Linked DNA regions of Caenorhabditis elegans. The protein of the gene in region 4 interacts with the protein of the main gene of each other region in a pairwise test. Each region holds a gene or a part of one and is shown on either strand. Other genes may lie near its edges.

What was found.
Region 1: the proteins of zoo-1 (region 4) and lin-65 interact in a two-hybrid assay, tested with the Caenorhabditis elegans proteins (one large-scale study listed by BioGRID).
Region 2: the proteins of zoo-1 (region 4) and C28A5.1 interact in a two-hybrid assay, tested with the Caenorhabditis elegans proteins (one large-scale study listed by BioGRID).
Region 3: the proteins of zoo-1 (region 4) and F39G3.3 interact in a two-hybrid assay, tested with the Caenorhabditis elegans proteins (one large-scale study listed by BioGRID).

Annotation. Positions count from the first base shown.
Region 1 is NC_003279.8:1,752,144-1,759,338, reverse strand, and holds the start of lin-65 (uncharacterized protein), read right to left. Parts: upstream 4,011-7,195; 5' UTR 4,010-4,010; coding exon 3,877-4,009; intron 489-3,876; coding exon 1-488. Other genes in the region: Y71G12B.10 (hydroxymethylglutaryl-CoA lyase), read right to left, coding at 5,024-5,340, 6,402-6,735.
Region 2 is NC_003281.10:4,427,739-4,437,019, reverse strand, and holds C28A5.1 (Ig-like domain-containing protein), read left to right. Parts: upstream 1-2,675; coding exon 2,676-2,729; intron 2,730-2,778; coding exon 2,779-2,916; intron 2,917-2,961; coding exon 2,962-3,027; intron 3,028-3,074; coding exon 3,075-3,377; intron 3,378-3,426; coding exon 3,427-3,602; intron 3,603-3,649; coding exon 3,650-3,770; intron 3,771-3,816; coding exon 3,817-4,014; intron 4,015-4,118; coding exon 4,119-4,330; intron 4,331-4,376; coding exon 4,377-4,479; intron 4,480-4,525; coding exon 4,526-4,662; intron 4,663-4,712; coding exon 4,713-5,516; intron 5,517-5,568; coding exon 5,569-5,808; intron 5,809-5,854; coding exon 5,855-5,933; intron 5,934-6,057; coding exon 6,058-6,303; intron 6,304-6,355; coding exon 6,356-6,439; intron 6,440-6,488; coding exon 6,489-6,985; intron 6,986-7,033; coding exon 7,034-7,205; intron 7,206-7,254; coding exon 7,255-7,296; 3' UTR 7,297-7,405; downstream 7,406-9,281. Other genes in the region: C28A5.2 (REJ domain-containing protein), read left to right, coding at 1-317, 370-603, 652-730, 834-1,070, 1,116-1,199, 1,338-1,834, 1,891-2,062, 2,115-2,156; C28A5.6 (Protein kinase domain-containing protein), read left to right, coding at 7,521-7,586, 7,638-7,957, 8,113-8,597, 8,987-9,281.
Region 3 is NC_003283.11:4,728,724-4,735,877, reverse strand, and holds F39G3.3 (Histone H3-K79 methyltransferase), read right to left. Parts: upstream 3,968-7,154; coding exon 3,692-3,967; intron 3,643-3,691; coding exon 3,530-3,642; intron 3,480-3,529; coding exon 2,644-3,479; intron 2,512-2,643; coding exon 2,330-2,511; intron 2,281-2,329; coding exon 2,205-2,280; intron 2,110-2,204; coding exon 1,448-2,109; 3' UTR 1,155-1,447; downstream 1-1,154. Other genes in the region: tig-2 (TGF-beta family profile domain-containing protein), read left to right, coding at 5,758-5,870.
Region 4 is NC_003279.8:14,526,891-14,533,664, forward strand, and holds the start of zoo-1 (Tight junction protein ZO-1), read left to right. Parts: upstream 1-2,638; 5' UTR 2,639-2,641; coding exon 2,642-2,737; intron 2,738-4,041; exon of another isoform or gene 4,042-4,090; intron 4,091-5,086; coding exon 5,087-5,140; intron 5,141-6,774.

The DNA.
Region 1 (7,195 bases), about 13 Mb from region 4:
AGTCTCATCAAATCCTTCGTCCAAAACTCCATTTTGCTCGGCGAGCAGCACTTCTTCGTCGATTTCAGCGGCGATTTCTGGAGCTTCTGGGGCTTCTGGAGCTTCTGGAATTTCTTGAGCTGAAGCATCTGAAGCTCCCAAAGAATCCGGAACATCCTGAGCATCCTGAGCTTCTGTAGATCCTGGAACTTCTGGAGCTGAAGCATCAGAAGCCTCTGAAGCCTGAGCTGAAGCATCTGGAGCTCCCGAAGAATCCGGAACATCCTGAACTTCTGGAGCTTCTTGATCCGGAGCTGAAGCTTCTGAGGCTTCTTGAGCTGGAGCTGAAGCTTCTGGAGCTCCTGGAGCCGGAGCATCTGCAGCCAGCTCTTCCTGAGATTCAGGACCATCTGTAGTAACATCCTCATCCTCATCCATATCAATCACGAGAATCGGTTCCGGAGTGTCGTCATCATCGTCGTCCAGCATCACCACATCATCTGATTCGTCTGAAAATCGGAAAATTTTAGATTTTTTGAGCGGGAAATTCAAATTTTTCGGGCTTGAGGCGGCTTTTGGTGGCGTAGAAACATTTTTGGTGGCCTAGAAGCATTTTTGGTGGCCTAGAAACCTTTTTGGTGGCCTAGAAACATTTTTGGTGGCCTAGAAACCTTTTTGGTGGTCTAGAAACATTTTTGGTGGCCTAGAAACCTTTTTGGTGGTCTAGAAACATTTTTGGTGGCCTAGAAACCTTTTTGGTGGCCTAGAAAAATTTTTTGGGGGCCTAGAAACATTTTTGGTGGCCTAGAAACATTTTTGGTGGCATTGAAACCTGTTTGGTGGCCTAGAAACATTTTTGGTGGCATTGAAACCTGTTTGGTGGCCTAGAAACCTTTTTGGTGGCCTAGAAACATTTTTGGTGGCCTAGAAACATTTTTGGTGGCCTAGAAACCTTTTTGGTGGCCTAGAAACATTTTTGGTGGCATTGAAACCTGTTTGGTGGCCTAGAAACCTTTTTGGTGGCATTGAAACCTGTTTGGTGGCCTAGAAACCTTTTTGGTGGTCTAGAAACATTTTTGGTGGCCTAGAAACCTTTTTGGTGGCATTGAAACCTGTTTGGTGGCCTAGAAACATTTTTGGTGGCATTGAAACCTGTTTGGTGGCCTAGAAACCTTTTTGGTGGCCTAGAAACATTTTTGGTGGCCTAGAAACATTTTTGGTGGCCTAGAAACCTTTTTGGTGGCCTAGAAACATTTTTGGTGGCATTGAAACCTTTTTGGTGGCCTAGAAAAATTTTTTGGGGGCCTAGAAACATTTTTGGTGGCCTAGAAACATTTTTGGTGGCATTGAAACCTGTTTGGTGGCCTAGAAACCTTTTTGGTGGCCTAGAAACATTTTTGGTGGCCTAGAAACCTTTTTGGTGGTCTAGAAACATTTTTGGTGGCCTAGAAACCTTTTTGGTGGTCTAGAAACATTTTTGGTGGCCTAGAAACCTTTTTGGTGGCCTAGAAAAATTTTTTGGGGGCATTGAAACCTGTTTGGTGGCCTAGAAACATTTTTGGTGGCATTGAAACCTGTTTGGTGGCCTAGAAACCTTTTTGGTGGCCTAGAAACATTTTTGGTGGCCTAGAAACATTTTTGGTGGCCTAGAAACCTTTTTGGTGGCCTAGAAACATTTTTGGTGGCATTGAAACCTGTTTGGTGGCCTAGAAACCTTTTTGGTGGCATTGAAACCTGTTTGGTGGCCTAGAAACCTTTTTGGTGGTCTAGAAACCTTTTTGGTGGCATTGAAACCTGTTTGGTGGCCTAGAAACCTTTTTGGTGGCATTGAAACCTGTTTGGTGGCCTAGAAACATTTTTGGTGGCATTGAAACCTTTTTGGTGGCCTTGAAACCTTTTTGGTGGCCTAGAAACCTTTTTGGTGGCCTAGAAACATTTTTGGTGGCCTAGAAACATTTTTGGTGGCCTAGAAACCTTTTTGGTGGCCTAGAAACATTTTTGGTGGCATTGAAACCTGGTTGGTGGCCTAGAAACCTTTTTGGTGGCATTGAAACCTGTTTGGTGGCCTAGAAACCTTTTTGGTGGCCTAGAAACATTTTTGGTGGCCTAGAAACCTTTTTGGTGGCCTAGAAACATTTTTGGTGGCCTAGAAACCTTTTTGGTGGTCTAGAAACATTTTTGGTGGCCTAGAAACCTTTTTGGTGGTCTAGAAACATTTTTGATGGCCTAGAAACCTTTTTGGTGGCCTAGAAAAATTTTTTGGGGGCATTGAAACCTGTTTGGTGGCCTAGAAACATTTTTGGTGGCATTGAAACCTGTTTGGTGGCCTAGAAACCTTTTTGGTGGCCTAGAAACATTTTTGGTGGCCTAGAAACATTTTTGGTGGCCTAGAAACCTTTTTGGTGGCCTAGAAACATTTTTGGTGGCATTGAAACCTGTTTGGTGGCCTAGAAACCTTTTTGGTGGCATTGAAACCTGTTTGGTGGCCTAGAAACCTTTTTGGTGGTCTAGAAACATTTTTGGTGGCCTAGAAACCTTTTTGGTGGCATTGAAACCTGTTTGGTGGCCTAGAAACATTTTTGGTGGCATTGAAACCTTTTTGGTGGCCTTGAAACCTTTTTGGTGGCCTAGAAACCTTTTTGGTGGCCTAGAAACATTTTTGGTGGCCTAGAAACATTTTTGGTGGCCTAGAAACCTTTTTGGTGGCCTAGAAACATTTTTGGTGGCATTGAAACCTGGTTGGTGGCCTAGAAACCTTTTTGGTGGCATTGAAACCTGTTTGGTGGCCTAGAAACCTTTTTGGTGGCCTAGAAACATTTTTGGTGGCCTAGAAACCTTTTTGGTGGCCTAGAAAAATTTTTTGGGGGCCTAGAAACATTTTTGGTGGCCTAGAAACATTTTTGGTGGCATTGAAACCTGTTTGGTGGCCTAGAAACATTTTTGGTGGCATTGAAACCTGTTTGGTGGCCTAGAAACCTTTTTGGTGGCCTAGAAACATTTTTGGTGGCCTAGAAACATTTTTGGTGGCCTAGAAACCTTTTTGGTGGCCTAGAAACATTTTTGGTGGCATTGAAACCTGTTTGGTGGCCTAGAAACATTTTTGGTGGCATTGAAACCTGTTTGGTGGCCTAGAAACATTTTTGGTGGCATTGAAACCTGTTTGGTGGCCTAGAAACCTTTTTGGTGGCCTAGAAACATTTTTGGTGGCCTAGAAACCTTTTTGGTGGCCTAGAAACCTTTTTGGTGGCATTGAAACCTGTTTGGTGGCCTAGAAACATTTTTGGTGGCATTGAAACCTGTTTGGTGGCCTAGAAACCTTTTTGGTGGCCTAGAAACATTTTTGGTGGCCTAGAAACATTTTTGGTGGCCTAGAAACCTTTTTGGTGGCCTAGAAACATTTTTGGTGGCATTGAAACCTGGTTGGTGGCCTAGAAACCTTTTTGGTGGCATTGAAACCTGTTTGGTGGCCTAGAAACCTTTTTGGTGGCCTAGAAACATTTTTGGTGGCCTAGAAACCTTTTTGGTGGCCTAGAAAAATTTTTTGGGGGCCTAGAAACATTTTTGGTGGCCTAGAAACATTTTTGGTGGCATTGAAACCTGTTTGGTGGCCTAGAAACATTTTTGGTGGCCTAGAAACATTTTTGGTGGCCTAGAAACATTTTTGGTGGCCTAGAAACATTTTTGGTGGCCTAGAAACATTTTTGGTGGCCTAGAAATCTTTTTGGTGGCCTAGAAACCTTTTTGGTGGTTTTTTTTTTCACAGGTTTCGGAGGCATTTTTCGACATTTTTGGCCATTTTCTCAGCTAGAAATTCCAATTTTCGAGTTTTAAGGTAATTTTTAGCGAAAATTGCAAATTTTTAGTGCAAAATTCAAGGTTTTACTCAAAAAATCTCACCTTTCTGCTCAGTTATCTCCATAATTTCTCCATCTTCACCCAAAAGCTCAGCAATCTGATCATCATTTAATGGAGGTATTGGATCATCTGAAGCTTCTGTATTTAAGATACTTTCGTCGATTACTTCTGACATTCTGTAAAATTTTGAATAATTTAGAATTTTAGATGGGAAAAAATGGCAAAAAAAAAAGGATTTAAAAAGTCAGAAATTCAAAAAAAATTATTTAAAAAGTTAGAAATAGCCGATTTTTCAGGAAATATTCGAAAAATTCAGGAAAAAACTTTGAAATCAGGGGAAAATCTCGAAAAAAATCAAAAACAAATCTGAAATTTTTGGGGAAAACAGTTTTTTTTTACGAAAAAATTCAAAAATTTTGTGCAAATTTCGAGAAAATCCAGAGAAAAATGTGGTTTCTTGATTTTTTTCAAACAATTTTTCGAAAATCTCCAAAAAATCGTGAAAAACTCGAGGAATTGAAGGGAAAACTAGCAACAAAAAATCACAAAAATTGAGAAAAAAATATAGAAATCAGCTGAGAACTGGGGAAAACTCGGGAAAAATCTAAATTTTTGGGGGAAAATCAGAAAATTTTGGGGAATAACTTGCTTTTTTCGAGAAAAATTTCAAAATTTCGTACAAAATCCCAGAAAATTCAGAAAAAAAAATGCGGTTTTTTGATTTTTTTTCAAATAATTTTCCGAAAATTTCCAAAAAATCGTAAAAAAATCGAGAGTAGAATTCGGCTGAAAACCGGCAAAACTCGGAAAAAATCGGAAAATTTTGGGGAAAAAACCAAAAAAATCGGTAAAAACCTGCTTTTTTTTGAGAAATAATTCAAAAATTTGTACAAAATCCCAGAAAAATTCTGAGAAAAATGCGGTTTTTGAATTTTTTTTTTTGCAAACAATTCAATTTTCCGAAAATTTTCAAAAAATCGTGAAAAAATCGAGAAATTGAGGGGAAAACTAGCGAAAAAAAATCACAAAAAATGAGAAAAAAAAGATAGAAATCGGCTGAAAACCGGCAAAACTCAAGAAAATAAAAATCTGAAAAAAGTCTCTAATCTCTTTATTATTTCCTAAACAACCGGGGTAATTTTTACACGAATTTTTAAAAATTTTTTTAAATTTTTTACAGCACACATTTTCAGCAGCAGCTTTTGCTCTTTTTAGCCATCATTGCAGCTCCAACTCTCGACCATTTATCATATCCGGCGGCTTCATTAAACCATTTTGCAGTTTCGACAACTTTGTCCAAATTGACACCAGTTTCAAAACCGTTTCCTTTCAAAAAATACAATAAATCTTCAGTTGCAAGATTTCCAGTTGCTCCTTTCGCATATGGGCAACCACCGAGCCCTGCGATACTTGAATCCGCACTTCGGATGCCTTTTTCGATGGAAATGAGCACATTTGCGAGAGCTTGACCGTATGTGTCGTGGAAATGAACTGCGAGTTTTTCGGCTGAAATGGTGGTGATTTTTTGAAATTTTTTTTTCTTTCGAAAATAATTTTTTTTCACAGTTTTCCCGACTTTTTTCGCCTGAAAATCAATCGATTTTTCATTGAAATAACTCAAAAAACGATAAAAATCTCAATTTTCGCTGCGAGACCCACAATCTGTGGGGAAATTGACCGAATATCATGATAAAAAAATTCAAAAAATTTTTTCTAGATTTTATAAGATTTTTTTTTGATAATTGAAAAAATCTCAGTTTTCCCCTAATTCCTATTTGAATTACCGCCAATCGGATTTGACCGATGGAGCGCGCTTGCATTATTGGAATTAATTAATTTTATTTATTCTCATTATTCGACTGAATTTCTTCATTTCTTCTGTTTTTTTTTGTTGGAAAATGAAAGAAATAAAAAAGACATATGCAAAATGTTTGTTAAAAAGTAACTGAAAATGCCTAAAACTGTATTTTTTTTGAATTCTGACGACGGCAAGCCTGAAATTAGTATATTTTACAGTTTTATAAATAAAAATATATTTTGTAAAACTGTGAAATATACTAATTTCAGGTTTGTCGTCGTCAGAATTCAAAAAAAATTACAGTTTAAGGCATTTTCAGTTATTTTTTAACAAAAATTTTGCATCTGTCTTTTTTATTTCTTTCATTTTCCAACAAAAAAAAAACAGAAAAGAAGAAAATCAGTCGAATAATGAGAATAAATAAAATTAATTGATTAAAATAATGCAAGCGCGCTCCATCGGTCAAATCCAATAGGCGAAAATTCAAATATAATTATGTAAAAACTGAGATTTTTCAATTTTCAAAAAAAAATCATATAGTCTAGAAAAAAATTTTGAATTTTTTTATCACGATATTCGGTCAATTTCTCCACAGATTGTGGGTCTCGCAACGAAAATTGAGATTTTTATCGTTTCGTGAGTTATTTGACTGAAATCGATTGGTTTTCATGCGAAAAAAGCCGGGAAAACTGCGGGAAACTACTTTTTTTGTAGTTTTTCACTCGAAAAATCGAAATTTTAATATAAAATATTTAAAAAAATCCGCTACCTGGCACACTTTTCAGCACCGTATCCAGCATTTTCGACACAGTTTTCACTGTTCCAACGCCAATAGTGTCGCCCAGCGAGACCTCATAACACCCAGATTCTAGAAGCTTCTCGGCGACTCTGGCCACCATTTCCGGCTGTACAGCTCCCTGATACGGGCATCCAACGACGACTGAAACGTAGCCACGTACTCGAATATTGTTCTCGAGGGCGATTTTTGTGACTTCCATGAGCTTTTTCAGACTATCTTCCACATTGGAATTCACATTTTTCAGTGAAAACGCGTCTGAAGCTGCTCCAAATACGGCAATCTCTTCGACGACTCCTGTTGCGAGCTGGAAACTTGAGAAATTTGCAATTTTAAAGGTGGAGTAGCGCTAGTGGGGAAATTGCTTTAAAACATGCCTATGGTACCACAATGACCGAATATCATGATTAAAAATTTTTAAAAAAATTTCAAAATTTTATATGATTTTTTGAAAATTGAAAAAATCTCAGTTTTTGCCTAATTCCTATTTGAATTTCCGCCAATTGGATTTGTTCGATGGAGCGCGCTTGCACGTTTTTAAATTTATTTATTTTATTTTTTGTTATTTTCCACCGATTTTTAATGTTTTCAGTGTATTTTTGCTCGAATTTTAGAGAAAAAGCCAAGATAAATTCAAATTTTCGATTAAAAAGCACGCTGACAGGCGTAAATCAGTGAAATTAATTAATTCAGGTTCGAAATCATTTAAAAGCGTTACTTTGTCATTTTTACGCCTGTCAGCGTGCTTTTTAATCGAAAATTTGCAT
Region 2 (9,281 bases), on a different chromosome or scaffold from region 4:
ACTCCTGAGATCATAACTGAGTCTTTCTACGAATCCACTCATGATCAAGCTTCTAGTCGTGCATCAACTGTGGACAGACTAGCTTCAGATGTTGATAAAATTAGCATTGGTCGTCCTGATTATTCACCTCCACCAAGACGTCGAATATTCGGATACAGTACTCCCGGTGATAGAGTAAGACCGAGAAACAGTTATGGCTCGAGTTCCAGTGGATCATTAAACGGACGCCCAAAACGTCGTGCTCCATATGGATTCAGGCAGATCAGGAATATCACGCCGCATAATGTGCTACTGAGAGATATTATCTATAATAATATGTAAGTTCAAAATCGTTATAAATTTTCGTGTCTTGATTATTCATATTTTCAGAAACAATCGAAAAATGTTTGTTGAACAGAATAAAAATGCCATTCTCAAATGCTGGAATCGTTTACCGCTGGCGCAAGTGACACGAACGAAGAAAATCTTCTGTACAGTAATCGCCGTCGAAAGCATCAAATTTCCACCATCATTTGATGATACTTGCATCAAAGGACTCGTACGTTTCGCTGTTGTATATGATGATATGAACGTCAAGAACACGTCTGTCGTTGTTCCGATCGGGTATATATTAATGTAAAGTTTTCTCAAAGTTAATACTAAAAATTTTAGAGGAAATTTCAATAATCTGCCGAAATCGTTCCAGTTAGGGGATGCGTATAAAGTTTTCCACTTTTCATCCTACAAAGATGTAAGTTTGCTTTTCTAACTTGCAATGGACCTTCTGATTCACTGATGATAGTTGAATTTCTGATTAATACGAAGCTTTTTGTCCTAATTGTTGCGTTTTTCAGCTCATTTGTCGGATCGGAGGATTTTCGCACGGCCTCAATGGAGAATTGAGTCGCGTGGCTCCAGTGAATTGTATTTCCAACCCCGAAACAGTGAATGGTCGGTACGGACAAAGATATTTGAGATGTACTGTAAATGCAGCGAGACCAGCGATTTCAGAAATCGAAAGTGATGTTTTCGAATTGTGGACAGTCCATGGTCTTCCTGGATTCATCATTGTGGAAAAAGTCCCACTCTTGGTCAGTTTATTTTCTTTTTTGATGTTGACTTTTTTATCATTCCAGATGAACCATTTGAATAAAGAACCAATTAATCCAGATGTGCACCATCAACATATGTATACTTGCATTATTGAGCCCCTGGCTGGAGTGAGTTTACGTTTAGCTATTTCCATAGAAACACTGCAAAAATGAGATTTCATATTTCACAAACCTCTTTTTTCGGAATTTATCTCTGCCGTATCTCTCTATATGTTCTGGGTTTATATCATTTACTTTTTGTTTCAGGGCCCTGTGGAAGCTTCAATTCTCAAAGATGTTAAAGAAGGTGAAGACATTTGCATATTCTGGAGACTTGTCGTCGAGTTTTCCGATACTGTTCCACTTCCCAGATTAAAGGAAAAAACTGACAAGGTTGTGCCACAGATAAGAACAGAACCGGTGCAAAGTGGCACTTTTTCTGTGGACGACTACGGATGTTGGGAAACTTTACGAATCAATTCGATTTTGGCTCAAGAGAAGCTTGACAGAATGCGGGCCGTTGGCGATCCAAGAGTTAAGATGATTGACGGACCAGATTTGAGACCAGAAATCGAGGTTCGAAAGGTCGATGTGAATACGAGACGAGAGAAAATGTTCGCAGCGTTTGATGCACTTCTGGAGAAGTTGCCACAACTTCACAGCGAAGGAATTCTCGGATACGTCCTGGAGGATGATTTACGAGTAAAGATTAAAAAATTGACGCCAATGAACGATAATAATCATAAATTTACATTCACATTCAGGTGAGTTCGAAATAAAACTTTTAGATGTATTTATCATATTATCCTGATTCTTTCAGAAACGGCTCGCTGGAAATCGGTGTGAATTACCTCACGGATATGCTCACTAGAGGAAAAATATACAAAGTGATGAATGAGATGAAAAAACATGTTCCTCTGCTTAAGGTGTTGTCAGATTGCATCGGTCTCAATACAACTTATATCAAAAAAACTGATGCAGTGAAGATGATGGTTAGTTCTAAATTTCAGTACTGTTCACGCATAATTATCTATTTATTTTCAGTTGCATTACATGTACCGAAACGAGCTACACACGTATTTGTGAGAAATCGACATAATTTTGATAGTTTCTTTTTTTATCCGCTTTCAATTGCCAGAAAACCCTTTATTTTTTCTTTTTTTTTCACTTTCTTCTTCAATAAAACCCATTTTGTTCTTAATTTGTCTTGTTCGACATTTACCAAATTGGAAATTGGGAGTTATTTAAAACCATGTAGTTTTTCAGTCTCAGAATTAATTTCCTCCAATTAAACTAATTTTAGTCACCATTTCCGTCGTTGTAGGCCTGAAATGTTTATCTCGGTTACTGTAGTTTTTCAAGGTGCATGCATTCCCACTCGAAGGTCTCACAGCGACCCGCCCGTGCAACCTTTTGTTTTTGATTCCAACGAACTCTTATCCTACATTTATTTCGTTGAATTTCGTTCTTTTTTGTTAAGAAAATAGCGAAATTGAGATATATTTTACTTGAAAATTATTCCAGACGATTTTTGACTTCTTTGAAACATTTTTAATTCAGATTTACGAGTTTCTGTGACTTGCCGATGATTATCACCACAAAACAATGCATTTTTATAAATACGGTGTTTTGATTAATCAGCTCAGCGATTCGTTTGAGGTATTTTCTTTAATTATTTTTAATTAGTTCGTAAAATCATTATTTTCAGTGGAGAGTCGCATTCTTGGATGGATCTGTCAGTGATCATTGTTGCATCACCGTTCCTTCGGAAAAGTTTAACTTTCCGCCGACTCCAGGAGCAACTGTTAAAGCCAAATTTGAACACGCGAACAGCTTTTTGCCATCGGTATCATATTAATTATGAGTAACTTTCTCAATTTAAAATGTTCAGCTTGTCGCACAATGTGGCAGTTTTGAATGGTTTCGTGATGTAACGGTGGTGAATTCCAAAGTTGTGGTATGAAAATCGAATTATTTTACCATTTTACAATCAACTTGTTTCAGATCTTCGCTATTGTGCACTTCTCAAATGAATGTCTAGAAAGAGATCCATTTAAAATAAATGGAATGGATTACAGCATTATCGAGAACGAGAATACGGACTTTCAAAAGATTGTACTTCCAACTCGTGTGCTTCAAACCTCAATCACAAGTAGATCAAATTTGCAAAACACCGACACTCCTTTTATTTATCGAATCGGCGTATGCTGGGAGCCAATAAGTTTTGAAAACGGCGTGACTGTCAATTGGAGATATTATGCTGATTTTCCAATTACTCCCATTTTCGAGCTCTACTACAGAGAAACCGTACGTTGAGCTAAGAGCCTTAAAGCAAAATATACAACCGATTTTTCAGACTTTGCCTTATATCGCCGAGTCAATGGTATATGGAGTTTTGGAAGGAGTCGTTATCGCTGAAAATGATCACGGAGCACTTTTTTGGACACCGAAAATGGGATGCGCCATTTTACCAAGCACGTCTCTTGACACTCCAATGCCTTCCCTCGGAAGTGTTCATGTGATTCTCGTAAAGTGAGTAATTGGTAAGTATGTTAATATCATAAAATCATTTTCTTCAGACGATGTATCCCCGAAAATTCGTTTGGTTTCTCTTGCTCATACGAGTTACTCTCCAGTTTTCGTTCAACGGAATGGCCGAATCTGAAAGTCATCACTGATCAGATCACCAGAAAAGTATACGTGAGTTACCCAGCATTCGTTTCGTCAAACAATTGAAATATTTCAGATTGAAGCGAATGCAAGCTGCCGCAGTATGATGGAGAATCAAGACTTTCCAAGTATGAATGTTCCACATATCGGGAAAGTGTTCAGAGGTTTACAACAGTACCGTGATAAACTTTCTGCCGGTCATCTCTACGATTTTCGAATGGAATTTCAGAAAGAAGAAGGCTCCTTCGTGCCAACGATTGTGGATCTATGCCTGGTACATACTTTGAAAAAATAATATAAAGGACTCCAAGATAAATGAAAGCAACTAAATCTTGATACTGCTCCTTGTTGTGTGATTTTTAATTGCTTTAATTTCAGGAAGAGGACGAGATGGTTGATTGTCGAGTCGTCTACATTTCCAATGAAACGAGCACTTATTTTGCAGTTCTGGATCCGTCAAGTAACTCGTTTGATCGCTTCAAACAGAGCATCGATTACATTGCAATCCCATTCCGAGTATTGTTTTGTGCTAATGGTGTACATGTGAAGAATGAGGAATTGTTACTGAATTCGTACAAGGTCAGAGTTAGGTAAGGTAAAAACTGAGATATCCATTATTAATAATTGAATTTCCAGAGTTCCGAGAAACCGTCACGACGTTGTGAATGCCATTCACGTTGAACACGTTATTCAAAGTCCAAAAGATCCAGCATATTTTATAACGAATGGCTCCGTATGGGTATGGAATATTATTCAACTTTTAATAACAACATTTTTCTTTTCAGCTTCGAACTACGGTTAAATTTCAAAACGCCTCCAGATACGAGCTTCTCTGTCCTCTCCTCGAGCAGAAGATTATCGATGTGAATGGTGTCACTGCAGCGATGTCTCTGACACAAGAATTCACGGTCCACGCTCAATTGTTAGTAATTTTTATTTGAATTATCTGTGAGATAATTATTTTTCTTTCAGCGTTTTGATGGAGAGAAACGTTCCTGTTTTTGTTGTTCGGCAACTGGCTTCAACTGTTCGTGAGCATCCGAGAACGACGAATTACCCATCCAGAAGTCTCAATTTGTCTTACGAAGTTTCCGGAGCTTTGGCAAGAACCAATCCAAACGGTCAATTATCAGCTGCTGATAATAACATTGTCTTAATTAACGATTCCATCAGTTTGGATCACAATCTGCCCGACACCGGAGAATATCCAACAATTCTGAACGAGTCATCATTCGAAAGACAGCTCTTGTTCGACAATCAAAGTATCGCGGATAGTGCTTCAACTTCCGGAGATTTCATTTTAACGGAATCAGTTTATGAATCATCCAGTGCTGCTTCAACTTGTACAGTCATCGACAGAAACGACGCGAGATTTTCTGCGTTAAATGATGACTCCAATATTCTCATCTCCGAATCCTGGCTTGATTCGACAAATCAGCATTCAGAAACAACTATGGATACTCCTGAGATCATAACTGAGTCTTTCTACGAATCCACTCATGATCAAGCTTCTAGTCGTGCATCAACTGTGGACAGACTAGCTTCAGATGTTGATAAAATTAGCATTGGTCGTCCTGATTATTCACCTCCACCAAGACGTCGAATATTCGGATACAGTACTCCCGGTGATAGAGTAAGACCGAGAAACAGTTATGGCTCGAGTTCCAGTGGATCATTAAACGGACGCCCAAAACGTCGTGCTCCATATGGATTCAGGCAGATCAGGAATATCACGCCGCATAATGTGCTACTGAGAGATATTATCTATAATAATATGTAAGTTCAAAATCGTTATAAATTTTCGTGTCTTGATTATTCATATTTTCAGAAACAATCGAAAAATGTTTGTTGAACAGAATAAAAATGCCATTCTCAAATGCTGGAATCGTTTACCGCTGGCGCAAGTGACACGAACAACGAAACTTTCAGTTACAGTAATCGCCGTCGAAAGCATTAAATTTCCACCATCGTTTGATGAGACTTGCATCAAAGGACTCGTACGTTTCGTTGCTCTTGGTGTTGGTGTTGATATTAACCTCAGAAACATGTCTATCGTCGTTCCGATCGGGTATTTTCAACCTTAAATGTGCCAAACTAATGCCAAAGAATTTCAGAGGAAAGTTCAATAATTTGCCAAAGTCGTTCCAGTTGGGAGAAACGTACAGAGTTTATCATTTTTCATCCAAAGTTGATGTAAGTTTGCTTCCTTGACTGACTAACTTACTTAGTCACTAGTAGACTAATCATTTCGAATGTTTTCATAAAATTTTAAATCGAAAGAAGTTTTTTTATTTTATATTGTTTTCCCGTGTTTCAGCGCATTTGTCGGCTCGGCGGATTCTCTTTTGGTCTGAAAGGAGGAATGCGAAACGAGGAACCACCTGATCGGAATAATTGGTTTTCCGACCCCCAAACTGTAAATGGTCGCGACGGACAAAGTTATTTGCGATGCACTGTAAATGCAGAAAGACCAGCGAATGCAGAAATCGAGAGTGACTTTTTTGAATTGTGGTCTACCACAGCTCTTCCTGGTTTCATTATTGTGGAAAAAGTACCACAATTGGTGAGTTTTTTTATTGTTATGAAGTTTTTGTTTCATTTAAATTACATTTTAGATGAAACATTTGAACGAAGAACTACTTGATCCAGATGTGCATTCTCGGTTTACCTATTCTTGTGTTATTGAGCCGCTGGCTGGAGTGAGTTTTATTTTTTTTCTTTTTCGCGAACATTTACATTTTCCTTCAGGGTCCAGTGGAAGCATCAATTCTTAAGGATTTGAAGTACGATGAGGAGTTTTGCATCTTCTGGAGACTTGTCGTAGAGTTCTCCGATACTGTTCCATTGCCCAGATTGATTATAAAATCTAAAATCTATGTGCCACCGCCACCTGTCGTCCCGGTTTATGTTACCCCATTCACTGTAAACGACTTTGGATGCTGGGAAACACATCGTATCAATTCGATTCTGCATCAGGCGAGAATTGACAGACTTCGTGCTGCAGGCCATATGAGAGTCAAAATGCTTGATGGACCAGATATGAAACCAGAAATCGAAATCCGAAAAGTCGATGTGAATACGAGACGAGAGAAAATGTTCACAGCGTTTGATGCACTTCTGGAGAAGTTGCCACAACTTCACAGCGAAGGAATTCTCGAATACGTCCTGGAGGATGATTTGCGAGAAAAGATCGAATATTTGTTGCCAATGACCGATGATAATCATAAATTCCAGTTCAGAGCAAGGTAATAACGAAATATCGTTTATCAAATTGTTCATGATTTTTTTTCCAGAAACGACTCGCTTACAATTGGTCTGAACTACCTCACGGATATGCTGACCAAAGGGAAAGTATATAAGATGTTGTACGAGAAACAAGAATATGTTCCTCTGCTTAAGGTGTTGTCAGATTGCATCGGTCTCAATACAACTTATATCAAAAAAACTGATGCAGTGACCATGATGGTTAGTTTGTAAATTTAAGTACTATTCACACACAATTATCTATTTTCAGCTGCAATTCATGTACCGAAACGAGCTACACACGTATATGTGAGAGATCGACATAATTTTCATACACGTTCTCTATTTTTATCCGCTCCCAATTTTCAAAAAATTTGGTGTATTATTTTGTTCCAATTATAATAAAATTATCTACGCTTAAACTGTTTTATTTCTTACTTGACATTCCCTTTAATTTCAAAGTTCAATAATTTAAACTTTCACGTCCTTAGGCCTAACACTTCTTCTTGTATAGTTTTAATTTATTTCTTGATTAGAATGGATTTTCCTTTCGAATATGTGGAACGAGCGATCACTTATCCAAGTTTTGATAGGAAGACAGTTGTAAGTTTATTGATTTTCTCATTTTAAGAGAGAATACTGAAAATGTTTCAGTGTAAAGCAGCTCTAAATAAAAGAAAAAAGAAAACGGATTTAAAAGGTCCAAAATGTTTGGAATCTGAGGAAGATGAGTTGGATGGTGATTTGCCTGAAATAGTTATTGATGAAAAGGAAAAAGCTTTGCTGAAAGAAATTCAAAAATTCGAATTGGAAGTTAAAAAAGGAACAACAAATAAATATTCATCATCATCAGAGTTTTCTTCTTCAAATTCGGATGCTTGTGATTCAGATGGTGAAACTTCGGATACTGATGCTGTTGAAGCTATGTTCAAAAATGAAAATGATGCTACAGATATTGCCTGGAAACGATTGAAGTGGGTTTTTATCGACACTGAGAACCGAGCCCGTCCGTCGGGGTATAGCTCAGTGGTAGAGCGCTCCCTTAGCATGGGAGAGGGCTGGGGTTCAATTCCCCATACCTCCAGAATCTTTTTATTCTTTTTTTGTAGCTGTAAATACCAATTTACAGAATAATGCGCCAATGTTGTTGTTCGGGGTCGGATTGTTTTTCGGACAAGGATCTCGATGCAGTATCAGCGTCGTCGTCTTCCCATCTTATTTCCGAAGAGGATGGCGAGGTCGGAGAGAAGAAGGAATCTGAACAGCCAACGGATATGGTAGAGCCATCATCTGCACCAACTACTGAAGAGACAGAGACGGAGAATGAAGAGGAAGATGATAAAGAGAAGACTGATAAAGAGAAATTAGACGCAGAGAAAGAGAAAGCATTGGCTGAAAAACGTCTTGAAAGAGAGCAAAAACTTTATAAAGATTTGAAATCTTCGTCTGATGACACGTCATCATCTATTGATGATAAAATGAATTTTGACGATGAGATTGAATATTTGGAAGAGATGTTGGATAACATAGAGAAACAGAAAGACAGAAAAGGGTCGAAAGATGAAACTGAAGACACTGATGCTACGGGAGATGAAGAGGATAGCATGTTTGAAGGTATTAAAGGAATTTCAAAAGATGCGTAATAGTTATTATGAAAAAAGGTCTCAGAGCGCGCGAACATGCATTCATGAATTAAACTTTTGTGTATGTGCCTTTAAAGTTTCGGTAGGCAATTGATGTGATGAAACATTGTATTTTCAGTTTTTTCGACGGAAACATTGAAAAGTAAATATATGGGTTTTCTTTCTAAAATTCTTAATTTGTTTGGTTTTTTTTCTCAGTGAACAATCGAGATCTATACATGAATTTTCTACAGTACTCTTAAAGGCACGTATGCAAAATCCCTTTGGATATATGCAAGGAGCGCGCCGAGACATTTTGCATAAATACACATTCTTTGAGACTGATAGAAGAAAAAAAAAATTCCAAAATTAATTTTCCAGAAGTCAAGTCGGCGTCCAACAAGTCGGGAGCCGAAAAATCGTCAGCCGAGCAAACAAGCAATGCAGGCGTTGAGACATCTTTCAGTCAATCATACTCTTCAACAACTGATACATCATCTGCAATGCTTGATTCTGAATCAATTATCATTACGTCTTCGGATCCAGATGCAGACAATGCAGATCTTGATCGAAATATTGAAAAGTTCAATTGGGATTCTGATGATCTCTATAGGTCGACTGATACCGATTCAGAAGTCGAGAATTTGCTGGATTATTTGAGCACAGCGATGAACAT
Region 3 (7,154 bases), on a different chromosome or scaffold from region 4:
TTCAGAGTATCAAATGAGTTAATTTGAAACAATAAAAAAATCTAAATGGCGGAAATCGTGGCGGGACCCACCGAGAAAGTAAGTGTGTGCCTTTAAATTGAAGTTTTACGTTTTTACGACAGTACGATATCTCGGCTGATGTGCTTCACATTTTCAGGCAATTTTTAATATACTAATTTTACCAAATTTTGAAACACCAGTTTAAAGGCACACGAAGGTTTTCTGGTTGGGTCTCGTCACGATCTCAGTCAAGGAGCTCGCTAAAGATGCCGAATCTTACAGATTTATTCATTAGATGTCGAAAATGATTAGAACTTTAAATTCTAAATATCTAAATAAAAATTTTTCAGTTCCGTAAATCCAGTAGCCAATAAAATTCCTAAATTCCAGTTTTCCATCTCTCATTTGTCGGAGGTCTCCAATTCGGTTGAAAAGTACCTGAAAAAATACTCCACTTCCTCTTATCATAACCATTCATTGTTCATCATCCCCTGTATAGTGTCTTGTGTATTTTTAAAAATTCAAATTTCCCATCGTGTGTATATTTTAATGCAAACTTCTACGACTTCCTCATGAGATGCATTTAAGCGGACTAGTTTTGTTGATTTTTAACATAAATTCAGAATATGCACAAAATGCAATTTTCAAAAAAATCTTTTTGCGCTGCGAGACCCATAAATGCAGCTTCCTTGGAAGTCGTAGAAGTTGGCAAATAATAAAATTGCACTCGAAATTGGATTAGAAAAACTGAAAAACTTTCGAAAAGTGGAGAATCTGCATAACTTCGAGCACAATATTATTATTGTGAATATCATTGTGCTAATTTTCATGTGTCCTCTGTTCCTCTTCCACTATTCCCTTTCATTGGCCAAAATTCTCAAAGCTCTCCTCAAAATCGATTATGGATTTAAAATGTTCTAAATTTCAACAACTCCTTCAGTAATATAAATTGCTCGAGTTGAACCATCAACGTCGACGCAAATTCCCAAATTCCATATCATCGCCGTCATCCCTGAAAAAATTGGCAGCCAGAAGCATTGTAGACGATTTTCTGTTTTCCAATTCCAGGATTTCTCGTTGATTTCTTTCCAATTTCGACCTGACACTGTCCAACGACCAATTATTTAGCACATAAATCACAAGGAAAACAAATTACACAGTGACCTTGGATTTATTAATACAAAAATCTAAGAAACTAAAGATCCAAGTTTCTAATAAAAATCGAGCCGGAAAATGATTAAACAGGGGAAATTATAAAAATTTAACATTTCTGGATATTAAAAAACGGTCATGATGAAAGTGGGGTGATCGAAATTCGGTTGTAGTGCACAGAAACAGAATATTTGGGGTGGGGGCGATATATCATGAGGAGGCTACCCGAAACACGGATATTAATACATTAAGTAGATATTATTAGCAAATTGAACATCATCTACAATAATAATTATTATGTGAAAATCTCATCCATTAAATCAGAATCAGTGGGATACCGACGGGAATTATTGTACTCATATCCCGAACCCATTGGTTGTTGCTGATACGGCTGCTGCTGCTGGAATCCTTGAGGCGGCGGCGGCATTTGCTGATGAATCATTGGCTGCGAGTACTGACCGAATCCTTGCATAACTGGTGACGGGAACTGTTGCTGTGGAGGGTAGAAATTCGGCGACGGCTGCATGTAGTTGTTCATCATCGCAGGTTGTGGTGGTAGTGGTGGTGGTGGTGGAACCGGAACTGACATCAGTGACGGAAGCGTTGTTGGAGCTGTGCATGGATTGAAAGACATCATCGGATTTCCAACTGAAGCATCATTTTCAACGGGAACACCGTTTCCTGCGGTAGCGGCAAATAGCTGTTTAAGCGACGCTTCATTGGTAGGCGATGGAGCAGCTGGAAGACGATGGGTCTCACGACGACGACTGTTTCCATTTTCCGATTTTTTATGATCACGAGATCTCGTTTCGCGAGATCTAGAACGAGTCCGCTTCCTGTCGTGACGTCGCATGAAATCCGACAGCTTATTCTTGTTGCTCGAAGTATTCCAAAACTCGGCACATTTCTCTTTGGCGAATGTGTCGAACCCATTTCTCATATCACGAGCATCGGACACTAAACGTTATTAGAGCTCAGGTGTTAGGAAAAATCGAATCAGAAAGGTATTACAATACAAGGAAATAATAATCTGAAAATCGGTTAGTTCTTACCGCTAATTTGAGTTCCAAAAATGGCAATATCATTACACAATGGCTCAACAAGTTCGGCCAAGAATCTTGATAACTTCTGAAACATAGAAATGTTAAAGTGTGAAGCGTGTCCGATTGTCCAATACCTCAACACGTTTCATGGACTTCCGTGAGTGCTCATCGATGACTCCAAGCGATACAAGCTTGTCCACGTAGTTGACGAATGCTCCTTTGTAGCATTCTCCTTTTATTTCATCGAATTTCGATCCATAAAGCAACTCTTTAGGAATATTCACTGCATAACATTTTGCTACATATTCGGTGGGACCTAAATTGATTGGAAATCAGTGACTACTTACAGAGATTTCACGGGAAATTAAAACTGGGATAAATGAGAAATTATGCTACTTATGCTACAGTTAACTACAAAATACAAAAAAAATTGGGTCGATGACAGTACTTTTTCCTTCAATCTTGGTAACTTCGTATTCAATCTTTCCGATCGCTGGATTCAAATATTTCAGGAAGAATTCGTCACATTCTGCCTGTTTCGAATAATCCTCATGCTTTTTCCGAGCTTCTCTCCTTTTTGCAGCTTCAGCTTCTTCTTTTTTCTCCTGCAACGCGTGTCTTTTTTTTCGTTCCATCTCTCTTTTCTTGATATCTTTCTCCTTCTCCTTTTTCCGCATATCATCCAAAACTTGAACACGAATTTTACCGATTTCATGACGAGCTTTTCGCTGATTCTCTCTTTCTCGATCTGCTGCGCTCGTATCGGATCTTAATCTTGTGCGCTGAGGTTCTTCCGGTGCTACAAACCGAGCCTTCTGACGTTCTTTTTCAGCCAATTCAGCTTGTCGAGCAATCATCATCATTTGAATACGAACTTTCTCGTCGCGACTGTCCTGAGGTGGTTTTGCAGGATCCTCTTCGTCTTCTCCATGCATTGGAAACACTGGCATCGGATCCACGACCACGTTCTCTTGATGACGCCAAGCCGGTGTTGGCGAAAAAGCGCGTTGGCGCTCAGGAGATTGTTGTTGCATTCCAGGTGGAGGAGAATCGTTCATCGGCCACATGGGCATTTCATCGACGCGAACTTCCACATCTTCGTGGTACATTCGTGGTTGATGACGATCGTAGGAATTATAATCCGGTAGACCAGCATAAGCGTTGTATGGATCCACGTTCTGCGGGAACGGTTCGTGTGGTGCATAGTTTATTTGAGAAAACTCTCCATTGATATATTCAGGGCCTCGAAATGGCTCCGTGGAATCGATGCGAATTGGTGACGAGCTGAAAAATATATATTGTTAAAAATTGCTCTATCTACGAATTAAACTTACGTCTCATATCGATCCCTAGATCGTGGTGTTACCGAAGCGCCACCTGAACCACGCGACGAAGAATAGCTTCCTTGAGCCAAATCGACGGTTAATCCATAATTTTGTTCAAGGAGCTGTAATTTGTTTTAAAATAAGAAATGTTCGAATGAGAAATGTTAATACCTTCGCTTCCTCTACTAAACCAATATTTTTCTGATGTAGTTCTTCTTGTAGTTCTCTTACTTTCTGTTGGGCGATTTCATAATTTGAAAGTTGATTGGCAGGTGATCTTCTTGTTTTTCGAATGGGAGAAATTTCTTGTCGTCGTGCGGGTGATCTTCCATGTCGTCGAATTGGTGATTTCCCTTGTCGTCGAACTGGCGATCTTCCCGTTTGCCGAACAGGCGATCGTCTTCCCTGATGAGATCGATTGTTGGTTCGACCCGAGTCTCGAGACATCTGAAAAATGTTTGCTTTAAAATACTTAATAATTGAAAAATTGCTAGAAAATAGAACACGTAAGTACAATAAACGCTTTCAATGATAATAATAAATACAAGTTTCGGCATTTGACGTTTTAGGAGCATTTTTCTTTACAAATAAAAGGAAAATGTGATAAATTCAATTTATAAATATTTTAAATTGTTTATTCTTAAAAATGCCTGAAAAAGAAACAGAATGGAGCTCAAAAAACAAAGAAATGTTGATTGTCGCTCGCGCAAAGAAAAATGAAAAATCGTTAGCTCCGCCTACATGCAATGCGCGCGCGCGTTTTTGCAATGTCCCCGCACAGAATGGCTAATTGTCTTATTTATTGGAAGCAATGGGAAATTTCGCGGGGAAAATACTGAATGGAGAGCAAAAATGATAGATTTTAAAAATAAAATTTTTTAAATTGGGAAAAAAAATTTTCGAAAATCTTTTTTATATGAATCGAAAGAAGAAAAGAAAGAAAAATAAAAATTCAAAGTGAATGTCAAAAATTACCGTAATCCCTTAAAGGCGCAACCTCTATTCAAAAAGTTCTGTTTCGACACGACAAGTTTTGTTAAATGCAAAAATGTGTGCGCCTTTAAGAAGTACTGTAATTTCAAACTTTTGTTGTATCGGATTTTTTGCCGATTTTCCAAAATTTTAGTGTTTTTTTTAGTCAAAATTGAGTTTTTTTTCGATAAGTAATTAAATTCGTTTTGAAAAACTATTGAACATCAGTGAGAATTACGCAACAACGAGAGTTCGAAATCACAGTAATCCTTAAAGGCGCACATAACGAAAAAAAATCGCGAAAATCGCGAAATTTCGCGTCTGGGTAATATCAAGAGTTGAGATTTTGCTGTAAAATATCCAAAATAGCCTGAAATTTAAATGATTGTTTTTTTTTAATTTTGAATGACCTCCCGATTTGAATTTAATTTCTAACAAAACGAGAACTGGAAGACCAATCAGCGATTTGCTCCGCCCCCATTTTTTTACCAATCAGAAGAGTGCGTGGAGTTCGAAGTCGCTGATTGGTCGAGGAATTTTCATTTCGGAAGGAATTCAAACAGAATGAACCTGGTACTATTACAGGAACAAAAATTTCTGAGAATATTCTAGAATGCGTATTGTGTAACATATTTGACGCGCAAAATATCTCGTAGCGAAAACTACAGTAATTCTAATGACTACTGTAGCGCTTGTGTCGATTTACGGGCTCGATTTTCGAATTGAATTAAATAAAATCGAATTGAATTTATTTAACTATTTTTAGAGACCGTAAATCGACAGAAGCGCTACAGTAGTCATTAGAATTACTGTAGTTTTCTTTTTCGCTTCGAGATATTTTGCGCGTCAAATATGTTGTGCAATACGCATTTTCAGAATTTTGTGATCCCGTAATACATGCCGCCTTCAATGATTAACCATACTTATGACAAATTGGTTTTTTTCCGCCATGTTCTCTATTTCTCCACTCACAGCGACCACATTTCCTTTGTTTTGCTGTTTCAATTTTTCCATCTTCTTCTTTTTCAAAAAAAAAAAGAAAAATGTTTCGAGCGCCTGCTTGCAGGCCTGGACAGAAATTGTCTGGGGAAATCGGAAAGACACATGTGTGTGTGTGTGTGTGTGTGTGTGTGTGTGTGTGTACTGCCCTTCTCTCATCATTTTTCTCTGATTCTCCCCCACCATCGCCAAATCCTTTCAGCAAATTCAAAGAGTCAGTGCCGGAGAGTCCCTACTAGTTTGTGCTCTTCTTCTTCTCAGATTACATGCTCTTCGAATTTTCGATTTTATTGGGATTCCTAGTGCCACGTGGAGATTCGAAAGGAATTTATTTCGTCGAGGAACGCAATGGAAAAACGTATACTCAACCGCTGACTGGGTTTGTTGTTTTTTTTTCGATTTTTTTCAAATAATAATTGAGAAATCATGTGATGTTGATGAAAGGCATATTACGCCCTGGTCTCGAGATGAAAAATTTTTGTTAAATTTGCAAACAAATGTGTGTGCCTTTAAAGAGTACTGTAGTTTCAAATTTTTCATTGCGCCGGAATTTTCATTGAATTTTAAACAATTAAATATAAATTAAATATTTTTTTAACGAAAAACTATGAAAATCGCGTGGTATCAGGCTGTCCCATTACGGTTTGATCTACAAAAATTGCGGGAATTTTTTCTTTTCACGATCTGTTAAAATTGAAGTGTAATCATTGAATTTTTGATATTACGGGAACAATAAATCATGAGAATGCGTACTTGGTGCATTTTATTTGACGCGCGACATCTCTTAGCGAAAACTACAGTAAGAACTCAAATAACAATAGATATTTAAGCTCTTACTGTAGTTTTCGCTAAGAGATATCGCGCGTCAAATAAAATGCACCAAGTACGCATTCTCATGATTTATTGTTCCCGTAATAAATTAAAAAAATTTTATCGAAAAACTTTAAACTTACAGTACTCTAAGAATTTGTCGTGTCAAAACCGGGTACCGTATTTTTGGGACAAAAATCGCCAAATTTCGCTTCTGGATAATAATCTATTTTCTTGATGGGTCCTACCACCACAATATAAATTTCAGCAATTTCGCGAATTTATACTTCAAAGTATGTATCATTTTGAAGTTTTCCGTACTCCAAGTTTCTGAAAAAATTCCGAAAAAAAATTCTAAACCGAAAGTACTTTTAATATCATTCTGGCGCGGAAATTTTGGCCATTATTGTGTCATAAAATGGAATTTGGTCTCGACACGACAATTTTTAATGCAAAAAGGTGTGCGCCTTCAAAGAGTACTGTAGTTTTAAAATTTCGTTGGCGTGGAATTTTCACGGATTTTTCAGTTTCCCAATATTTTAAAAATCAATTACCTAAATATATTTTTATCGAAAAAGTATGAAAGTTCGACATACAAATCCGGCAGAAAGTTTGAAGCTACAGTACTCGTTAAAGGTGCACACCTCTTTTCGTTTGACATGAATTCATCGTGTCAAGACCCCGGGTACAGTAGTTTTGGGGCAAAATTGGCAGCATTTTGCGTCCGGGTGATACTTTATTTTTAGATGGGTCTTACCACGACAATATATGAACAAAATTCTTTTGAATATTTTAAAAATTCACAGTCAAAATGTGTGGATTATTCAGTTTTTACAAATTATTCATAGCTACA
Region 4 (6,774 bases):
ACCGATTCACTTTTTTTGGCGATTCGGTTCGATCAAATTTTGACAAATGGCTAACAGCAGCAGCGAGGGGATGGACTCGCGCGTTGTGTGCAAACCGATGGGGGGATGACATGTGTTTGGCAGAGTGCCAAGAAAACTAGACTAGGTTAGTGTATCAACTCCTATGAGCACTTGGCTAGTTTCGCACCTTTTGCTGGGCGGCCTAACAGAATACAATTCAAATAGTTCCAAAACTAGACCGTTTGTAGTTTAAAGGCGCAGGTTGTTTCCTAAGCTAGGCCTGTTTTAAGCATACCTAAATTGATTTTTCTATTATACTAGTTAATTGACTTCTACAGTTGATAGACCAATGCACCATGTTCTCAAAAAAATTTCAATTGCTAAGACTTGATGATTATCAAAAGTTTAGTAGTGGTGTTCCAAAATTAGACAATTCTAGTTTAAAGGTACATACATATTCCTTTACAGTTAGAGTTATTTTACAGTTATTTTATTTTTAGTTACAGTTAGAGTTTACAGTTTTTTAATGCTTGCCTAACATATCAATTTTTCTATGTTTCTATTACATATAGAAAAATTGATATGTAGGCAAGCATTAAGAAAACTGTAAACTCTAACTGTAACTAAAAACAAAATAACTGTAAAATAACTCTAACTGTAAAGGAATATGTATGTACCTTTAAACTAGAATTGTCTAATTTTGGAACACCACTACTAAACTTTTGATAATCCTCAAGTCTTAGCAATTGAAATTTTTTAGACTAATAGACTAGTATCTACGTTTCTATTACACATAGATACTAGTCTAGTTATGCATTTTTGAAAAGTTGATATACCAATGCACCATGTTCAATGATTGATTGGTCAGGTTTAAAAAAGTACTACGAACTGTAGTTTAAAGGTTCATGTTGTTTCCTCAGCTAGGCGTATTTGAAGCATATGTAGTTCAATGTATGTGTCTATTCAGAAAACGTACATGTCTTTTTCTAGTTAATTAACTGATTTAGTTGGTTGATCAATGCACCATGTCTAAAAACTGAATGGTTAGCTTCGTATCCCCCAATAATGTGTATAAGCCTCTAAACTACAACGGCAAGCTCAAAAATTACATTCTGCAAAAAAAAACTAATCAACTTTTTTCCAGTTTATGAGTTTTTGAGCTGAAGTGTTTTGTGCCAATCACCAAACAAGACTTGTCCATTTTTTGTTCTGAAATCGATGTTTTAGACTGTATTTCAAGCTTATATGATACACTGTCTTGGGAAAATAGGTTATTGAACCATCTGACTTTGGTTTGACAAAAGCATAAAAGTGACAAAGTCTAATACCTCACAGTTTTGAAACTTTCGTTCAAGACTGTAATAATTATTAATTAGAAATAGCTAACTAGAACCGATATACATAGGTACTTAATTCTATATATCTATATACCTATATAATTATATATATACCGAATTCTATAACACACCATGGAATTTTACCATATATTCCCTTTTTAGTACGTTTATATCTCGGTTGTCTTTGATCATATTTCAAAAATTCAAAATTCAAACGACACAATTTTTTTCAAATCTATCGTTATGCTTTGGTTTTTGAAGGTATCAAAAATATTTTTAAACCGTTGAAATATGAGCCGACAAAGTCGATTGACGGGGGGCCATACTAATAGGGAATGTACGGTATATATAATTTATGTACATATATGTATTATAACGTATGATAACATTCATACACTTCCTTTTTTTGACTAACTCAATTGCATGGAATTTGAATTTAAGACTACACACATTTTCCAAACAATTACTATTTTTCTTCTCTCATATCTCTAATTACTCCGATACTATTCAAAAATTCAATTCCCCATCCCCCCAGAAAACCCCAAAATTACTCCAAATTCCACGCATCCCAAATTCAATTTCCTTTACATGACCCCTTTTCCCCATTCTCCTACCCTTCTGCCTACCAATATGTCGTCAAATTCAATGTCTGCGTACCCGATATATGCGTATGTATTGAATGGAATAACACACCATTTGACGACATTTTCCCCGTTTAAACTAACAACTTTTCAAGGTTGTTTATTGGATTTTGCAGGGTTTTGTATGGGAAAAGTTCAGGATTTTCCTATAAAATCAATATTTCTTTGGAATTTATAATTGTTTAAGTACTGTGATAACTACTTAAATAGAACTTGTTTTATTTGAGTTTGTTAAAATTTAATTTGTTCATAATGTAACCGCTTTAAACGGGGCTTTTTTACTATTATTAAATTTAAAAGTTGACCTATTATAACTTTTTCTCAATAAGAAGTTTCAATTTTCATACTAATTACTACTTCTATACAGTTTTTTTCGATGTTACTTTAAAAAATTGAAAACTTGTCCTTATAAATTAGAATTTTCTGGTTATTCTTATTATTTCTGTTGAAATTGAACTTTAAAACGTTTTCAATTGTTCTTTGAGTTAAAATATTAATTTTTATAACAAAATTTAAAAAAAAAACCGCAGTCTTCAAAAAGCATAAGAAACAAACTGAACTTCATTGCTTTTTCCGCTTCTATTTGTATATACGATTAGCCTCTATTTACCCTGTGATTTTTGATTATTTTCTTTTTGTATATAACAACTTTTATATTCCAGAATGTCAGAGGACCCATCATGGTACAAGACCTCCATGTCAAGTACGTCTTCTTGTATTGAGGAGGAACATGAGCCTGTCGATCAGGATGAGGAAGAGGTTAGTATTTTTGTTTGTTTCTAAAAAAAAAATTAAAGCTTTATACCAAATTCTAACAATTTTTTTGTTGGATATAGCAATATAATGATGTTTTTCAAGTAGTGTCGGAAAATTAAAAAGTTTAGAAAATGAACGTTACCGCTGTAAGCATGTATTTTAATACTGTTGTGACGTCATAAATGTATTTAAATAAGGTAGCTGTTATACCGTCATCACGTACAATTTTAAGAATTTATTTGAGCTTTCACACTACAATATTTCGATACGTTTTCAAAATCAAAGCTATAACTAACTGTAACGCTATGTCCTTTGTTATACGTTACAACGTTTTATTACACACTATAATATAGATTTAGCCTGATTTCAAATGTTATAAATTATACGTTATCAACAAGATTAAAAGGTTAAGGTTATAGTATCATATATTAAAAAAACGTTAAAATTTTAATTGAACGATCATATTAAAACAACGTTTTTACATGTGTAACGAATTATAACGTTAGTTTTTAAAATAAAGGTTATAAAGTATCGTGTAATATTTTTAAAAAAAGTTAAAACGTAACGTTAAGTTAAGGCTATACATAGTATATTTTTCGTAATAAGGTATAACGTTTTAAAGGTGGGGATATTGTCTAAGTACACTTATTATGATCCAAAACGACCAAATATCATAATATAACACAATTTTAGATTTTTCATAATTTCCGGCCTAAGTTTTGGCATATTGCCAAAACTTTGAAAAATCAGAGCTTTTGAAAAAAAGTCCAAAGGTATGCCGCATGTTTCGACCCCTACAATGTTTTAATACGAATAATTAAAACAAGATTACAGAATTAAAAATGTAGAAAAACAATTTTTTTTTGGTCGACTTCCAAAATTATGAGTGGCAAAAACTCAGTAATTGTCACCACTTTTTGACAATAAATAAAAAATTTTCAAAAATTTTTTGAAAAGTTTTATTATGATATTAGATCATTTTGGGACTTTTGGTTTTTAACAACTTCCCCACTGGCACTACTCCACCTTTAAGATGTATGTTTTAACGGTATAACGTATAGGGTTAAAAGCAACTTTAAATTAAGGTTTTTACATAGTTGAACGATTTTGTCCATTTTTGTCGCGATGCTTGTTCCACTAGCAAAAACTGAACATGCTCACACTTTCTTTGAAAACCGCGAAAAATTAATGCCAAAAGATAGAAAACCATTCAAAACGCGTTTACTACCCCTGAAACAAAACGTCTAATAATATGAGAGTCAGGTCAAAAATAAAAGAGACACTTTTCTCATTCTCCTCCCATCCACTTTTTTCTCGTTTTTCAACATAGTGTAAATGAGAAATGTGTGTGTATGAAAAAGAAAAAGAGCCTCTTCTTCTTCTTCTTTCTTCTTCCACACAACTTCCCGAGGGACCCCCTTTTCCCAGTTTTAACCAGACATTGATATCATGCCCTTCTTAGAAGAGAGAGAGAGAGAGAAGACTCTTTTTGTTTCTATTCAACTCGTGTGTCGCTTATTTGACTTTTGATGTCTACTGGTAGCCTAGTTATGAGAAAAATTACAATAGATTTTAGAATTCTTAGGCTGTATGGGTACTGTAATTTATCACCTATAGGAAAAATTGATAGCATTACATATATGGTTTTAAATTACTCATAATTTGGGGTAGATCAAAAAAGAGAAACTTTTTAAATTGGTATCTAACAAATGCTATATCTATATAGTTGATTTATTATTTTCCAAGAAGTTATGAAAAATTAGTCTTTCACCATTTTTGATTCGGCAAAGTTTAGCGGTAATTTACATTCATGAACAACAGTTGCCAAAAATGTTTTTCTGCATCTTATAGTGAATTTTCATATTATTTTATAAGTTTCAGGAATAACAATTTAAAAATTTGTATGTATAGGCAAATACTGTTTGTGGTTTTAGTTTCACCGTTATAAAATAAGTAGTCGTTTTCTTAATATAAAAAATTGGATTTTTTAGGAAATTGATAATAATGGTACGGTTTCTATGTAGTAGCTGCGGTCCAAAACTTTTGACCAGTTTAAAAAGTTAAGCTTACAATTAGCAAATGCTTTTTCTATACTTTGGTTTAGTTGCAACATAATTAACAAAACTAACTGTTTTAAATCTAAAATTACGGCAATTTCTGTGCAGTTTTTCTAAAACCTAAAAATCACCTATTTTTGATTGTTTATAATTAAGTAGCAAGAAAGTGTCCTAGCCAAAAAATAGGAAATTTCTTGCTCTTTCAGACCAGTATACTAACGTCTCTGTACCTACGATATTCATTTCAAAAATCTTTTTCTAAAACCTAAAAATCACCTAATCACCTATATTCCAGATGTACAACCCGAGTGGATGCACGTGGCAACTTCTCTCCGTCTCCTTACACAGAGTATGTTTCTTTTTGTTTATATTTTAAACATTGTCTAATTCCTCCCTGACCATAAACAAAACCCGTTTCCCATTTTTTTTCTCCTACTCGGGTATAAATGATTTATCGTCCATGTATGCAAGGGACAATTGTGTATAGGTATAGGGGTATACATTCCGTTTAGGCAATCTGTATAGAAATTTCCAGGTAAACTCGTTACTTGATACAGGTCGAATGTCAATTACCTGTCAACCTATCTATTTAGCACAGTTACAAATATATGTACATAGAAGAACTATTTTCTGATAGTGAGTCGAAAATTTTGTTATTTATACCTTACTTGAATTATGTGTTGAGTTTCTAAAAAAAACTCCCCTAACTCGGTTAAATTTCGGATTTTCATAAAAATTATCTACTAAATTCTGAGCTTAATTAAAAATTTATTATAATTTCCTAAACTAGGGTGCCAAGCTGTCCTCAGCACACTCTTAACCATGCGAATCCAGTTTAGAAGCCTGCGTCTAAAATCCCGCAATTCTCGGAGATCAAACCGAAATGGGACATTGTGACACCACGGGACCTCTGAAATTGTAAATAAGTACCTTATAACCTAATTTATCATGTAATAACCTAGTTGATTTTAAGACTTACCTAGTATCTGTCCTAGTAGATCACTAAAACTGTAAAGGACTTTAGTTGAAACTTTTCATTGTATCTAGAAGATCATATCGCCATTTGACCTAATTATCTGATTTTGCATGGTTAAGAGCGTGCTGACGTCACAATTTTTTTGGAAAAATATTCCCGCATTTTTCGTAGATCAAATTGTAATAAGACAGCCTGGCACCACGTGTGTGTATCTAGAATATTTCCTTGATCTCAAAAGCCCTTCTACTCCTCCCTTAGTACTTTCTCTCCATAGCTCCTAGAATCCTCGAGAGTTGGTTGGTCACATTATTAAGACATTGAATATCTCTCTCCTGTTCTCTCTATCTTTGTGATATGGGACATCGAGAAAGAGTTGGCCATTGGCCAGTAGCAGCTGCCACCTTCTCTCTCTCCTCCCGTGTGCAAGCTTTATCCTTCCCGTCCCCGGGAGAAAGAGAGAGAGAGAGAGAGAGTATTCTTACTACACACATCACTCTCACTCATCACGACCACCATTCCGTCCATTCGTTCACACAACTTCAGCTTCTTTCTCCTCACGTATCGATTTATAGTGATTTATCACCTTTTAGCCGTCGAAATTTCGGATTTCTAGAGGTTTTGTGTGTAGATTTTGCTTTTTCTTGAATTCAGAGGGGCATTTATATCAAGTGTCTTCAAATTCTTAGGAACTCTATGAACTGCCACCTGTTTTGCAAAAATCTACACTTTCCTGAAATTTTTGGACTTACAAGGGAAGTATTTCAACGTAATCCCGTACTCCTGAATAAAATCTATGTCATTTAGAAATTTACTTTCTAAATATACTCCTACAAAATATTTAGCGGCAGAGGAGCACTTTGAACTGGAAAAAATCGTCGTTCTGAAAACTTTTCGGTGCATTTTTTTTCGGCTTCATATGTGAATTTTTGAAGATTTTTCAATGATTTCTAGAATGCTTACGAGCCGGAAAACATTTCGAATGTTTTTTTTTAATTTTCGAAAAAATC